Linked DNA regions of Saccharomyces cerevisiae S288C. The protein of the gene in region 1 interacts with the protein of each later gene in a biochemical or structural test. Each region holds a gene or a part of one and is shown on either strand. Other genes may lie near its edges.

Region 1 (7,944 bases):
CTCTAGCGAACTCCTTAGAATGGAATCTATGATCGTGTCCCACAACAGCTACCAAATTGTCTGGAAACTGTTGTCTTACATAAGTTGCCAATCCCTGAGACGCTTGTATGACTACTAAAGTATTCATCCTGCTAAAGCCAGCTTGCATTTGCGATCTTAAACCAGCAGTGCCAAACTGAATTCTAGAATCAAATCTTTTGTGTAACTCATTCCAGTCGGATTTTTTGCAGAGAGCGGTGACCTCTTCTATAGTTTTTGGGTTGCGGTCTTGCTTAAACCATAATGATATCGGATCTTTCAAGTCAGATGGTACGGTTTCTAAAATTCCTTGCAACATTTTTTGAAATTGCAGCAGCTAATGGCTCGAGAGTACTGTTGAGTATTTAGGGGGAAAGGAGAAAGAATCAATTAGTTCTCGCTACAGGGAGAAAACAATACAATATATAATGTTCAAAAAAAAAAAACGAAATGAAATCAAAAAAAAAAAAAAAAAAAAAAAAAAAAAAAAAAGGATTTCAGGATATCAAAATAAGCAAAAATATTGTTGCTATTTATCGATTTGTTACAAACGTATATATAATATGAACAATTATAGGTACAAAGACCAATGAGGAAAATGTGTGGAAAGATACGGCATCTGAGCTGCTAATCATCCAGCATATCCATCAACTCTTCCTCCAACTGCGAATCGCTGTCTTCGTTGTCATCCCCTTCTCCTTTATGTTGTACAGGACCATCTTGAGAAGGTTCCGCCTTGGTCTTCTTTTGTGATGTATCATCATGATTGTCCTCGATGCTCCTCTTTCTGTCAATGCCTTCCGAGTTGTTTTCGTCATCACTTTCGTCGTCGTGGTCGTCATCTTCGTCGTCGTCGCTAGCTGTGTCCGGAATATCTTCATCGTCGTCATTGTTTAACCATGAAGTACCAGCAGCGAATAAATTTAGATTTTCTTGTGATGTCAACATATGCTGTTGTTCCTGGGTCTCCTCCAGATATTCTTGTCTTTTTTGTAATTGTGTTTGAAAGTTTTGTAATTCCTCGTCGGAGATGGGGCTGTCCACGATTAACGTGTAGGGTTTTTCATCCACCTTTTTCCAATTTACCAAACACTCAAATATCCAATCTGGGTGAACAATTTTAATCTGTGGGTTGAACTTTTTCGCTAGACGCGCTTTATAAGTGCTAGGGTTCTTGGTGATTAAATGTGTCGTCAGGTAATCTATATCTGGAGTGGAAGTGGCACCAAATGTACTCGTCCATATCACTATGTCCGACCTTTGAATATCGGTCCCGAGGGGTATTAATCCTGAAAAAACAAAATAGCAATTTTGGAAGACTTTTTGCTTCAAACTTGGTATGATTTCCATCAGATTTGGTTCTGGCTCATTTTGTTGTGAGAGCATATCATAATAAGTTTTGTGAATGTTTGATAGCGTACCCATTAAGTAGTATAGTTCATCATCGTCATCAACTAGTAGTTTTTGATCATGCAGGTGTTTTTGTAGTTTGGCCAAGGGTCGATTTTGTTGTTGGACTTCTAAAGATGCTGAATATTCTAGTTTCTTGGTCAACTCTTCTTTGGATTCGTTCGCAGGAGGCTCCTCAGCAGTCGCCAGTTGATGGTTCAATTTTTCTTCTTGGCGTTTAACTTCTTTATCTATCTTTTCTTGTAGTTTTTTTTCGTTATCCATAATATCCGTCAGCAGTTCCTGAGATTCTTGGCTCTTCTGTCTTGTCTTCCTCCCTAGTTGTAGCATTCCTGTAGATTGTTTGGGCAAGAAATTAGAATTAATGTCACCTACACCAACGAAGAAGTTATAAGGAACAACTTTGATCAAGTTTGGACACCAATTCCAAACATCACCTCTGTCGTCAATAACTACAACCATTGACTGGTCAGTGGGGAAAAGTTTAGCTAATGATTTAGTTGTTAGAGACCCATTTTCATCACGCGACAGAATTCTATCGCCAAACAATTCGCCCGTAGGGTCCACGATTTTGGCAATTTGCAAGGCATAAGCCCTTGTAGCCATTGTGTAGATATGCATTTCAAAAAGAGGCGCCACTTTAGCGAAAAATTCCTTTAAACCGGGCCTTACCTTCACGTAGTACCAACATTTTCTTACGGGAGGCGGTCTCAGCATAGAACCATCGTCATTCATGTACATAAGTGGGAGTACTAACTCCTCATCCAACGTAAAGCTCTTGACGTCTCTTAATGTTTCAAAATTCGGATTATTGGGGTCGTTCTTCCACTCTGCAATCGTAGGGTCCACGCCACAATGGATGATGGTTTGATCTAAATCCACCACTAAGATAAGTTTCTTATCCCGTCGCAAATGCTCCTTCAATGCCTTGCCTGTTCTAATGGCTTCTGTCTCGCTAATCTGTAAATCCACGTCCCCGACAACGTCTAGTGGTACACCATCGAAGGCATCTGCAGAAACTTCTTTCCCGCATTGAGTACATAGCCCGCCATACACGATGTCATGGTTACATGGCCTTTTTATTTCGCAAATCACTTGGTTAGCAGTGGCTACTTCATCTCCTACGTCTACATTCCAACTAATCAAGTCCCCCTCGTAGGGACTTTCGAAGAATTCTATGGATTCACGCAGTTGTTTGGTTGGCGGAGAGACACCATTACTTCCGGCGCTGCCGCCGGGGGAAACATCGTGCTCGTTATCATCGTCACCAGTGTCTGAGGCCCTTTCCACCAAATACCAGAACTTATAGACAAGCAACCTATCACCCTCATGAAGGTACGAACCTACGCTTGGAATGAGTTTATCGATCTGAATCGGATACGGCAAGCCTTGGGGAGACCTTATTTGTGTGGTCATAATCTGCTTTGCTTGTGTTTACACGTTCGCGGTCAATGCAAGTACCGCTATATGACTAAATACAGTACCCTGGCTGCTAATTAAAGGGGGAAGGGGTGATTGATTGGGATGATTAGCTCGTTGTTATTATGTGTTTATTACTGTAGGTGTGAAACGAAAATTTTTTTTTTTCTTTCGCAAGGGCGCGTCTTCCAAAAGTGTCCAGATATTATGATGATATTATTGATGGATACATGTAATACGTAGATTAAATATATGCCGATAGAGTAGGGTAAAAGTATATAGGTTGCGGCATCTAGACGTTTATTTAAACATCGCCGTTCAGTAGTGAATCAAGAGCGCCTTGGACGGAGCCACCGCTTCTCCTGAGGGCTGCGACGTTTCTATCGAAATCGAAGAAGCCCATGTCGTTTAGTTGTCTTAATTGATGTTCATAGCGTTCTTCCGGTGGTCTGGTGTCTTCTGCTTGAGATGCTTGTACAGGGGGTTGGAACATAGACGCTAGCAATGCAGGATCGAAGGCGGGCATCCCGGTGGATGCAGCGTTTCCCGCGTTAGCAAAGGGGTTTAATGCAGGGTTCAGAAGAGACGCAAATGGGTTTGCAGCTGTGTTAGCGCCTGCGTTGGTACCTGCATTAGTCCCTGCGTTGTTCCCTGTGTTGGATGAGGAAGTAGTGTTCGTGTTGGAGCCTTCCTCTGGAGCATCGCCACCAGGAGCGGGGAAGGCAGAGGCAGCCCCACCTGCAGAGCCCATACCGGCATTAGGGTCCATCATTCTTGCGAATTGCATGCTCTGTCTAATCATATCAGGATTGGTGAGCATCTGTCTAAACATGGGACTTTGTAGCATTTGCCTGGCTTGTGGACCCATGGCCTGCAATTGCGGGTTGGACTGGATCATAAAGTCCAACATCTGAGGGTTACTCAACATCTCGTTCATTTGCGATTGGAAGATGGGGTTTTCCATCATCCTCAACAGCTCGTCTTGGTTATTCGAGTCGTTGTTTAATGCACCACCGTCCGGGCCAAACATGTCTGCAGATGGCATATTCAAATATCCAGCGTATCTGGCACTGGTCAAGTCGGCCAGCGGATTGAAGCCTGCACTTTGACCTGACGACATGTTCGGGGTGGCGCCAGTGCCAGCTGCTGCACCGGTGGCGGTGGCGTTATTTGCGCCAGCGGCACTGGCGGTTTGTGGTTTGGGTTGTGACTTGACCAGATGGACGCTGTGACCGTCTTGAATGTGGTATGACTCCACGGTTTGGTCGTCCTTTAAAATCTTACCCGAGTAGATCAATCTCTGATTTGCCACCGGGATACCGTTCGCTTTGTTTATCGCCTCCTTGAATTGCAACACTGTGCTTTCAGGTGCCACATTTACTTCCCACTTGTCTTGTCCTGACTTGATATGTATATTCAACGACATTATCGTGCTAGAATGATTCGGTGTCTTTGATCCGTCTTATTTGCCTCTCGTCCATCGGTGGATTGAACTTAAAACTGGCTTTAAATTGTTCTTTCCCTTCAGCGGGCCGTGACCCGCTCTCAGAGGCTATTTTAATAATGATAAAAGTATTGCAATGAAGAGCCGCATAGTGATTATGGAAAGAAGCTCTTAGCAAGGGCGAAAAGAGACTGTTCGTGTGTGTCAACAGGTATATCGTACGCTAAATGGCCAAAGATTTGAACGATTCGGGGTTTCCACCGAAGAGGAAGCCTTTGCTGCGTCCTCAACGATCTGATTTTACCGCAAATAGTTCGACAACTATGAACGTTAATGCAAACACAAGGGGGCGTGGTAGGCAGAAACAAGAGGGTGGTAAAGGCAGTTCGAGGTCACCGTCGTTACACTCTCCAAAATCATGGATAAGAAGCGCGTCTGCTACGGGGATCCTTGGACTAAGACGTCCCGAACTAGCACATTCTCATTCGCATGCTCCTTCCACCGGAACGCCTGCTGGAGGTAATCGTTCTCCTTTGAGAAGATCAACTGCAAATGCGACCCCCGTCGAGACCGGAAGGTCCTTGACCGACGGAGATATCAACAATGTTGTTGATGTACTGCCCTCATTTGAGATGTACAATACCCTGCATAGGCACATTCCGCAGGGCAACGTCGATCCAGATAGGCATGATTTCCCACCTTCATACCAAGAGGCCAATAATTCTACTGCAACAGGTGCTGCGGGCTCGAGCGCTGATCTCTCACATCAATCATTGTCCACTGACGCATTGGGTGCCACACGTTCTTCGTCAACATCAAATTTAGAAAACTTAATTCCCCTTCGAACCGAACATCACAGTATTGCAGCACATCAATCAACCGCTGTCGATGAAGATTCACTGGATATACCTCCCATACTTGATGACTTGAACGATACAGACAACATTTTCATCGACAAATTGTACACTTTACCAAAAATGTCCACACCCATCGAAATCACCATCAAGACGACGAAGCATGCACCTATACCACACGTGAAGCCGGAGGAGGAGTCCATTTTGAAAGAGTATACGTCGGGGGATTTGATTCATGGTTTTATCACTATTGAAAACAAATCTCAAGCAAACCTAAAGTTTGAAATGTTCTATGTCACTTTAGAGTCTTACATTTCCATTATTGATAAAGTAAAGAGTAAAAGAACGATTAAACGGTTTTTAAGGATGGTAGACTTGAGCGCTTCTTGGTCATACTCGAAAATAGCACTGGGGTCCGGTGTGGACTTCATTCCCGCAGATGTTGACTACGATGGTTCTGTATTTGGGCTAAACAATAGCCGGGTTCTGGAACCCGGAGTCAAGTACAAGAAATTCTTCATTTTCAAATTGCCACTGCAATTGCTAGATGTCACTTGTAAGCAGGAGCATTTCTCTCATTGTTTGTTACCTCCCAGTTTTGGTATTGATAAATATAGGAACAATTGCAAATATTCCGGTATCAAAGTCAATAGGGTACTTGGGTGCGGTCATTTAGGTACAAAGGGCTCCCCCATCTTAACTAACGATATGTCTGATGACAACCTTTCGATCAATTACACTATTGATGCAAGGATTGTCGGTAAAGATCAAAAGGCCTCTAAACTGTATATTATGAAGGAAAGAGAATATAATCTAAGAGTAATCCCTTTTGGTTTTGACGCCAATGTCGTCGGAGAAAGAACCACTATGAGTCAGCTGAATGATATCACCAAACTAGTGCAGGAAAGGTTGGATGCTCTTAGAAAAATCTTTCAGAGATTAGAGAAAAAAGAACCCATAACGAACCGCGACATTCACGGTGCAGACTTGAGTGGTACCATTGATGATTCTATTGAATCAGACTCCCAAGAAATTTTGCAGAGGAAATTGGACCAACTGCACATTAAGAACAGAAATAACTATTTAGTCAACTATAACGATTTGAAGTTGGGCCACGATTTGGACAATGGCCGCAGTGGAAATAGTGGTCATAATACCGATACTTCCAGAGCTTGGGGTCCCTTTGTTGAAAGTGAACTAAAATATAAACTGAAAAACAAATCCAATTCCTCCTCATTTCTGAACTTCTCTCATTTTTTAAACAGCAGTTCCAGCTCAATGTCCTCTTCCTCAAATGCGGGAAAGAATAATCATGATTTAACGGGAAATAAAGAAAGGACAGGGCTAATACTAGTAAAGGCGAAAATTCCAAAACAGGGCCTACCATATTGGGCTCCCTCATTATTGAGAAAGACCAATGTTTTTGAATCTAAGAGTAAACACGACCAAGAAAATTGGGTGAGATTGTCTGAGTTGATTCCGGAAGACGTAAAAAAACCATTGGAAAAACTTGATTTACAATTGACTTGCATAGAATCCGATAATAGCTTACCTCATGATCCGCCAGAAATTCAATCGATTACCACAGAACTGATATGTATAACTGCTAAATCTGATAATTCTATCCCAATAAAACTCAATTCTGAACTGTTGATGAACAAAGAGAAGCTGACAAGCATCAAAGCTTTGTACGATGATTTCCATTCAAAAATTTGTGAATATGAAACCAAGTTCAACAAGAATTTTCTTGAATTAAATGAGTTATATAATATGAATAGGGGAGACCGTAGGCCAAAGGAACTGAAATTTACAGATTTTATTACTTCACAGCTGTTTAACGATATCGAAAGCATTTGCAACTTGAAAGTTAGTGTTCACAACTTATCCAACATTTTTAAAAAACAGGTCAGTACCCTAAAACAACACTCAAAGCACGCATTATCTGAGGATTCAATATCGCACACAGGTAACGGTAGTTCATCGTCGCCCAGTTCAGCGTCATTAACGCCAGTAACTTCTTCATCCAAGAGTAGTTTATTTTTACCTAGCGGTAGCTCGTCTACTTCCCTGAAATTTACAGACCAGATTGTTCATAAATGGGTTAGGATTGCTCCTTTACAGTACAAACGAGACATTAATGTGAACTTGGAATTTAATAAGGACATTAAGGAAACTTTAATTCCAAGTTTTGAAAGCTGCCTATGTTGTAGGTTTTATTGCGTTCGAGTAATGATTAAATTTGAAAACCATCTTGGCGTAGCGAAGATTGATATCCCTATTTCTGTTAGGCAAGTGACAAAATAAAAAAACATTAGAAAAAATTCTCGTTACTTTTCTTATAGATATAGATATATGTATGGTTTGCTTATAGATGAAGGTATTTATCGCGTCCTTTGTATTCCCTATTATTAATAAAATTCTTTTAAAATGCATTTTCTGGTGCTCTTTTGTTGCTTCTGTATTTTTTTTTTTTTGGACCACTGGATGGAAAACCTTTGATGATTTTATTACCTTTATTTTAAGTTACTAAAATATCGAGATTTCAGGAACAAAACATAGAATTTTCTTTGTCAAGAAAAATAAAACGAAATAAATTGATGCTTTGACTACTGACTGTCTGTCATAGAGAGAACCAGAACAGCAATGCTACAATTCTCAACATTTCTAGTGCTCCTATACATCTCCATATCCTATGTGCTACCGCTATATGCAACTTCACAACCAGAAGGGTCTAAACGAGATAATCCTCGAACGATTAAATCTCGCATGCAAAAACTTACAATTATGCTAATTTCCAAC
Region 2 (6,662 bases), on another chromosome or scaffold:
GCAATACACATGCGAAAAGTATCAGGAGTGCTCTGATTCTTTTGGATATCTTACTCGATGGAACTGAGCAAAATTTCAAGGACATTGTCATATTTTTGCTGCAAATGTCGTCTAAATATATTGCAGAAGAAGGAATTGAGCCCGAGTTAATAGCAGTTTCCTTGTTAGATATTGTATCGAAGGTTCTCAGACTATCACACGATAATGGTATTAAACTAGACATTTTTGATGACAATGCTGCCCATTTAAAATATATCGATTTCCTTGTTACCAGCGTTTCAAATATGAAAAGCCCTCTTATTGTAACGGCCTATGTGAAGCTTCTTTCCGAAAGCATTGTTTATTTTGAGAATTCTATATTTCGAATGATTTTACCATTGTCTGCATCTCTTGTACAGTGTGTTCAGAGATTGTTTTTGCTAGAAAAGAGAGAAGGTGGTTATTACCAACCAATAGCTTTGCTTCTGGGTGGTCTGGAAGAGCTATTAGAGATTTCACATGGTTACCTTGTCACCGAGGAAAGGGAAGGATACTTTTCTGGGTCTAATCTAAAGGGTGATTTTATTCAATCCGTTGTTTCAAACGTTTTTTCGTCAGATTCTTCCAATGAAGAAAGTAAGATTCAGGGGGAAAGAGACGTAATACTACAATCTTTCAGACAGGTGATTTCATGCTGTTTAGATATCTGGTATTGGGCCCATAACATTTCGTGTAAATCTAACGATGATTCTAGCCTGGACGCCACTAATCATAACTCATACAAGTTCAAATTTAGGTCGAAGAAACTGTTGGAAACCTTATTTCTACTAGAACCTTTGGAACTTCTGGAAAATTTGATCAGCATTAGATCAGACAATACTACAGTCACACTAGTACATGTGCTCGACGGCAATAAACCCGCCATTACAATACCACATTTATTGTATGGTGTAATTATCAGATACAACAGAACGGCATCTGTCAAGTTTTCTAATCGTGACGGAAGTAGGTCAAGCACAACTAAATTAACTAAAGGGGAGCCTTCCATGTTAAAAAGATTAAGCGGGGAATCGATTATTGCATTTTTGTTTAACTACGTGGATTCTGTAGAAAACTCTGCAATGGAGGAGTTTTATGGGGATTTCCTGCTATTTTTCAGAGAAGTAGCAACCAATTATAACCTTTATTCTGATGTTTCGTTGTCTATATTAAAACTTGTTGCCCTTATTTCTGGAAAAGTAAGTAAAACGCAGTTTGGAGAACAAAAACGAGTTAGGAGGGAGATATCTGATGTGTTTTTCAAATACCTACCTAATGCATTTATAAACTTTACGAACTTATATCGTGGCCACCCTGATTCATTTAAAGATTTAGAATTTGTAGTATGGCGTGTTCAATATATCGTCAACGATCAAATTGGAGGAGACAAGTTTAATACAACGTTAGCGACAATTGTAAATCAATGCCTAACCCCTTATATCAAACCCAAAAGTGAAAAAACTATTCCAGGTTATGTCTTAGAATTGGCCGCGGTCGTATCCCATTTAGGTTCAAAAGTTAAAAGTTGGAGGCTTTTAATTGCGGAATTGTTCCAAAATGACAAAAAACTTTCGGTAATTGGCAGCGATCAAACTTGGGAAAAGATTATTTACGAATGGTCCATTTATCCAGAAAATAAGTCAAAAATCTTGAACGATTTACTATTAGAAATTGGCTCCAAGCGTTCAAGTGTGACTCCGACTTTAATCACGTTTAACTTAGGAAGCGATTCTGAAGTCGAGTACAAGTGCCAAAACCTTTTGAAAATATCGTACTTGTTGATGGTATCGCCAAATGACGCATATTTGTTGCACTTTTCCTCTTTAATAAGTTGCATTTTCCACTATTTGGTGTCCAAAGATATCAAGCTCAAGGGAAGCTGCTGGATCTTACTAAGGGTTTTACTTTTAAGATTTTCAGAGTCCCATTTCAATGACTATTGGTCTATGATCAGTTACTGTTTACAAACTAATTTGCAAGAATTTTATGAATCACTTCAAATACAGTCAGAAGTCGATCCACAAACAATATTGCAAGTATGTAAAACTTTGGATTTGCTACTCTTACTCAACATGGAAGGCTTCACCTCTACGAATGAGTGGATCTTTGTTATTGATACAATAAATTGCGTATATAAAACGAACTCATTCGTCGCGCTGGTAGATGAAATCGCAGAATTCAAAGATTACGAAATAACCAAAACTGATGATCTTGAATTACCGACAACTTTAAAAGATGGTCTCCCATTATTACGAGGCATTCACAAAATCGAGAGACACACGCAACTAAGAAGCTTCTTCCAGAATTTGAGTTATCTACATTATGAGAAAGTTTACGGACTAGGGTCAGTTGATTTATATGGTTGTGGTGAAGATCTCAAAAAAGATATTCTGTCATGAGCATAGCTATGAATTTTTCTTTATAAACCGAAATATAGTTATACGCTTTGAGTAAAGACACAGGTTATCAATTATAACGTGAAAGGTTTTGCAACTGTCACCTTGTAAAGCTGTACACACTGAGGACTTCCCATCCCGCTTTTCTCGTTTCAATAAGTTTCACATTCCATTTGTAAGTATCGACAAACCTCTTAATGACTTCTTTAGGCTTATTTCTTGCACAAAATAATATATATGCAACACCATCTGGAGAAAGAATTTGTTCTAATTGTCGTAGCAGTTTATCAGTAATCGCCATCCCGTCTTTTCCACCCAATAACGCTAAATCTAGCCATTGGTCTGCCTCCTCTCTTGATCCTGGGACATCTGGCACACATTCTGCTGGCACATATGGTGGGTTAAATATTAGGACATCAACCTGATTATTCCGAATACTGGAGTTTAAATCAGCTTGAATCACTTCTAAAAAAGAACTTTTACATGAATTTAACTTCGCAGTATCCAAAGTTGCTTCGAGCGCCCATGGGTTGATATCAACAGCTAAGTGGATGGAATTTTCCTGCGGTATTATTTTGTTTTGCATTAGAAATGTTGTGACGATACCTGATCCCGAACCAATTTCGCAAACGATGGCCAAACGATTACCAAATTTCTGTTTCAAAAAATCATGCTCTTTTTCCAAACAGTCCAGTATGAGGAAGCTATCCTCAGCAGGCTCATATACTTTATCGTAATCGCATTTTACATAAGGGGTCGGTAGCATACTTCACCTTTCTCACCCTGTGTTAAGTTTATCAATATTATATTTCAGAGTATAATTATATCAATATTTATATGAAATCAAATTCCGATGGCGTCTTCGGGAAGGCAAACGAACAACTTTTAGCTGAAAAACCAAAATTCTGTTATTCAAATGAAGTATTCCGACAGAGGAATAAATAAAGGAAGGTAATTAACTTCCTTACAGCCGTAACCGATGATTGTTAAAGTGAAGACACTGACTGGGAAGGAGATCTCTGTTGAGCTGAAGGAATCAGATCTCGTATATCACATCAAGGAACTTTTGGAGGAAAAAGAAGGGATTCCACCATCTCAACAAAGACTTATATTCCAGGGAAAACAAATGTATGTTCATTCAGTGGTTAATTATCTTTTAAGTTTATTTACGTTTTTGAGACCTTACTAACGACCAGGATAGTGATGATAAATTAACAGTAACGGATGCACATCTAGTAGAGGGAATGCAACTCCACTTGGTATTAACACTAAGAGGTGGTAACTAGAACCATTTTCCGTCATTTATGGAATTTTATCGAAGGTGTTCATTAGAAAAGAAGACAAAACGAACATAAGTTCACTTGGACTTTGGAAGGCTACCGCCCCCAATTTGTCAAAAAAAAAAATACATACAATTTAGTCTATAGAGTCTGTTATAATAAATTAATTGTTTTTAGACGAGAAATGTGAACTAAAACTGTTTAGTATCTATCAAATTATCCGTTATAGCATAGTACGGCTATATATGGTCTGATTGCTGGTCTCATATGACTTTATGGTTTAAATTTCATAAAGCTGGCCATTGCATGGTTCGCGCTGGAAAGAGAGGAAAAGCGTGGTGATAAAGAGCAAACCAAGCATACTGTTATATGCGATTACAGACTATCTGACCAAAAGACATATTTCGCCATTTCTTCTCAATCATGTCTTCCAGGGCAATTTTGTAAGCACGATTGGATGTCCTCTTGTAGTATACCGAATTTCTCATTAAGAAAAGCATCCTTTGCGCTACAACTTTATCAAGTGGAAGTATATACTAAACTCGGAGCATGCTTTTGCCAACGATATCAGTCTTAGCAAAGGGACTTCTAAGGACGTTATTGACGCCTGATTAATCTAATCAAATATAGGTTTGTCATTTTTTTAAACCGAATGGATTGACTTTTGTTTTCATCATAAGTATTACTCTCTGATAGGATCTCTGTGGTACGCTAAAATCTATCTGAATTGTTTGGGACACTATGCATGAATTTCTTATCAGTTTAAAATTTCTATTAAGAGGATAATTTATTTCATATCTTGGGTAGATGAACCATTAGAAATGTTCGAAGTAGCTGCATTGTTATCTTCTGTTTTTGGATTTTCTAGTTGAGCTGTTGTATTCTGTGGAGCAAACTCCCCGGCAACACCACTGTCAGGATCTTGCGAAGAAACTTCCGAGCTTTTTATTTTGGTATTCTCTTCTGATATTTCTCCCTTTGGTTGCGTCTGTTCGCTCTTCAACTCATCTCCTTCTGTTTGAGAAGCGCTGTTTATACGTTGCGACTTAATTTTTTGCTCTCTTTCAGGAAACGAAGCCTCTTCTTCCAGTGCCCTCTTCTTTCTTTCCTTTCCAATCTTGTACTCCCTAGCATCCTGAAGTTTTTTCCTGTGCTCTTGATTGATTTTGTACAAAAGTTTCTCTTTGAAACTATCATCCAACGCTTCCACTTTTCTGGGTTCCTCGAACAAACCATCAACACCAGTCTTTTCGTTAACTTTATCAAAATCGAACAAGTATCGCGATCTTAGAAACCGTAAAGTTTGCCATTGTCTGATTATTTCATCTTTCGCTTCTCCACCGGAAGTTTCAGAAGAAATTTTTGATTCCCATTTCGCTTGGGCTGCTTCATAGACACCTTCAGGCTTCTTTACTTCTTGCTCAATTTTATCTAGACCAGTAGGTATTTTCCAAACATTATTAATCAATTTATTCCCCATCTTGATGAACGTAAACTTTTTAAAAGTTTCGTCAAAAGCGGGTGGCGGTATCTTCTCCTTAGATATTCTGAAGTTTTGGAATTCTTTAAAGCCATCGATCTTGGCGGTTGTAAACTTTTCGTCAGAAGACATTAATTTGCGGATAACACGATAAAAGTCAGGGTCTTTAATTTTATAAAATTTCAAAACACGATTGTCGCAAATGTATGAACATAAATTGAGCCCACGCTTTTTGTTAACTTCATCAAGGTTCTCAAAATCAATATCGCTCAACGGGTTTTCCCTCAAATAGCAGCTTTTATAGAAATTCCTCGTTTCATCAGAAGAAATTAAATTGCGTATAAGATTTGTTGTGAAACATAGTTGTAAAATGAACTGTTTGCGGTAGTAATCATCGTCCTCTTGAGTCAATTGTTTATAAAGGCAGGTCGTATTGCTCAAAGAGATATCCATAATGGTAGGTCGAAGAGTGTAGTCATCTGATTCTTTAATATTCTGTAGATTCGCCCAAAATTCATTCCTGTCCATTTTCATTGCGTTTGAATGCTTCATATACACGGGTAATTTAGGGGTCATAACATCGTAATTCGCGTAATACTCAGTGTTCAGAGCTTCCTCTAAGGAATATCTAGTCCTATTGTTCATCTTGATTTTGCTGTAAAAGTTCTCTTCGATTTCCAAGATTGCATCAAGAAGGGGACTTAATGATCTGTCCACATCATTTTTATATTCTAAATCGCTAAAAGCAAATTCGATCGGGCAAATAATTAGATGATAAAACACGAAGTTATAATCTGCAGCAAATATAACGTCGGAACTGCGGTTGCTTTCTCGTTCACGTGCTGATCTGTTCCATTCGTTATCAGATTCTTGTAAAGCTGAAATAGAAGCGGATCTATTGAAGTTCGATTCTTCATTTATAGGTAGTAGCTCGGATAAAAAGTTCTCTAGTTTGTATTTCATATTATAATGTTTGACGGTATTAAGGATGTCATTATTCTCTAATTTAGCTAAAATATCGTTCCAGTGGCGCAGCTTTTCGTATAAAGGCTGTTTGTAACTAATCAAATTGCTCTCCCCCAATGATACTGGCTCAACAGATGTATTCATTTTGAACCATTCGATACGTGATTCAGCATAGGGCCAAAACTTCAAAAACGTAGATGGTGAGTTTAGCAAATCAATGATGGTGGAAAATAACTCGAAAAAGGTATTTCCCCAGCTAGCTGGATTAGATCTATTAAATCTTGAGTTATACACAAAATCGAGACCTATACACGAATTTAGTAACCCTTTTTCAAGATTATTTTCTTCTTCGTCTTCAATAGCATTTGTCATTGAATCTATAATGAATCTTTTAAGTATAATGTCAATCAAAGAATCTCTATCATGAATTGCCGAAATATTTTTTTCGAGCGGTTCCCATTCAAAATTGAGAACACTTGCATGCAACATTGAAGATGGAAGTGGTTCATGTCGAATGGAGTC

Evidence for each region.
Region 2: the proteins of DSK2 (region 1) and RUB1 form a complex in vitro, tested with the Saccharomyces cerevisiae proteins (one study listed by BioGRID).

What each region holds. Positions count from the first base shown.
Region 1 is NC_001145.3:815,156-823,099, reverse strand, and holds DSK2 (ubiquitin domain-containing protein DSK2), read right to left. Parts: upstream 4,274-7,944; coding exon 3,152-4,273; downstream 1-3,151. Other genes in the region: phosphoribomutase PRM15, read right to left, coding at 1-337; FCP1 (protein serine/threonine phosphatase), read right to left, coding at 646-2,844; ubiquitin-ubiquitin ligase BUL1, read left to right, coding at 4,519-7,449; RCE1 (CAAX prenyl protease), read left to right, coding at 7,789-7,944. UniProt on the Saccharomyces cerevisiae protein: Involved, with RAD23 in spindle pole body duplication. Involved in the ubiquitin-proteasome proteolytic pathway.
Region 2 is NC_001136.10:730,656-737,317, reverse strand, and holds RUB1 (NEDD8 family protein RUB1), read left to right. Parts: upstream 1-3,393; coding exon 3,394-3,542; intron 3,543-3,615; coding exon 3,616-3,700; downstream 3,701-6,662. Other genes in the region: DOP1 (Dop1p), read left to right, coding at 1-2,417; MTQ2 (S-adenosylmethionine-dependent methyltransferase), read right to left, coding at 2,515-3,180; HPR1 (Hpr1p), read right to left, coding at 4,482-6,662. UniProt on the Saccharomyces cerevisiae protein: Ubiquitin-like protein modifier that can be covalently attached to lysine residues of target proteins. Activated by the dimeric UBA3-ULA1 E1 enzyme and conjugated by the E2 UBC12 to substrate proteins.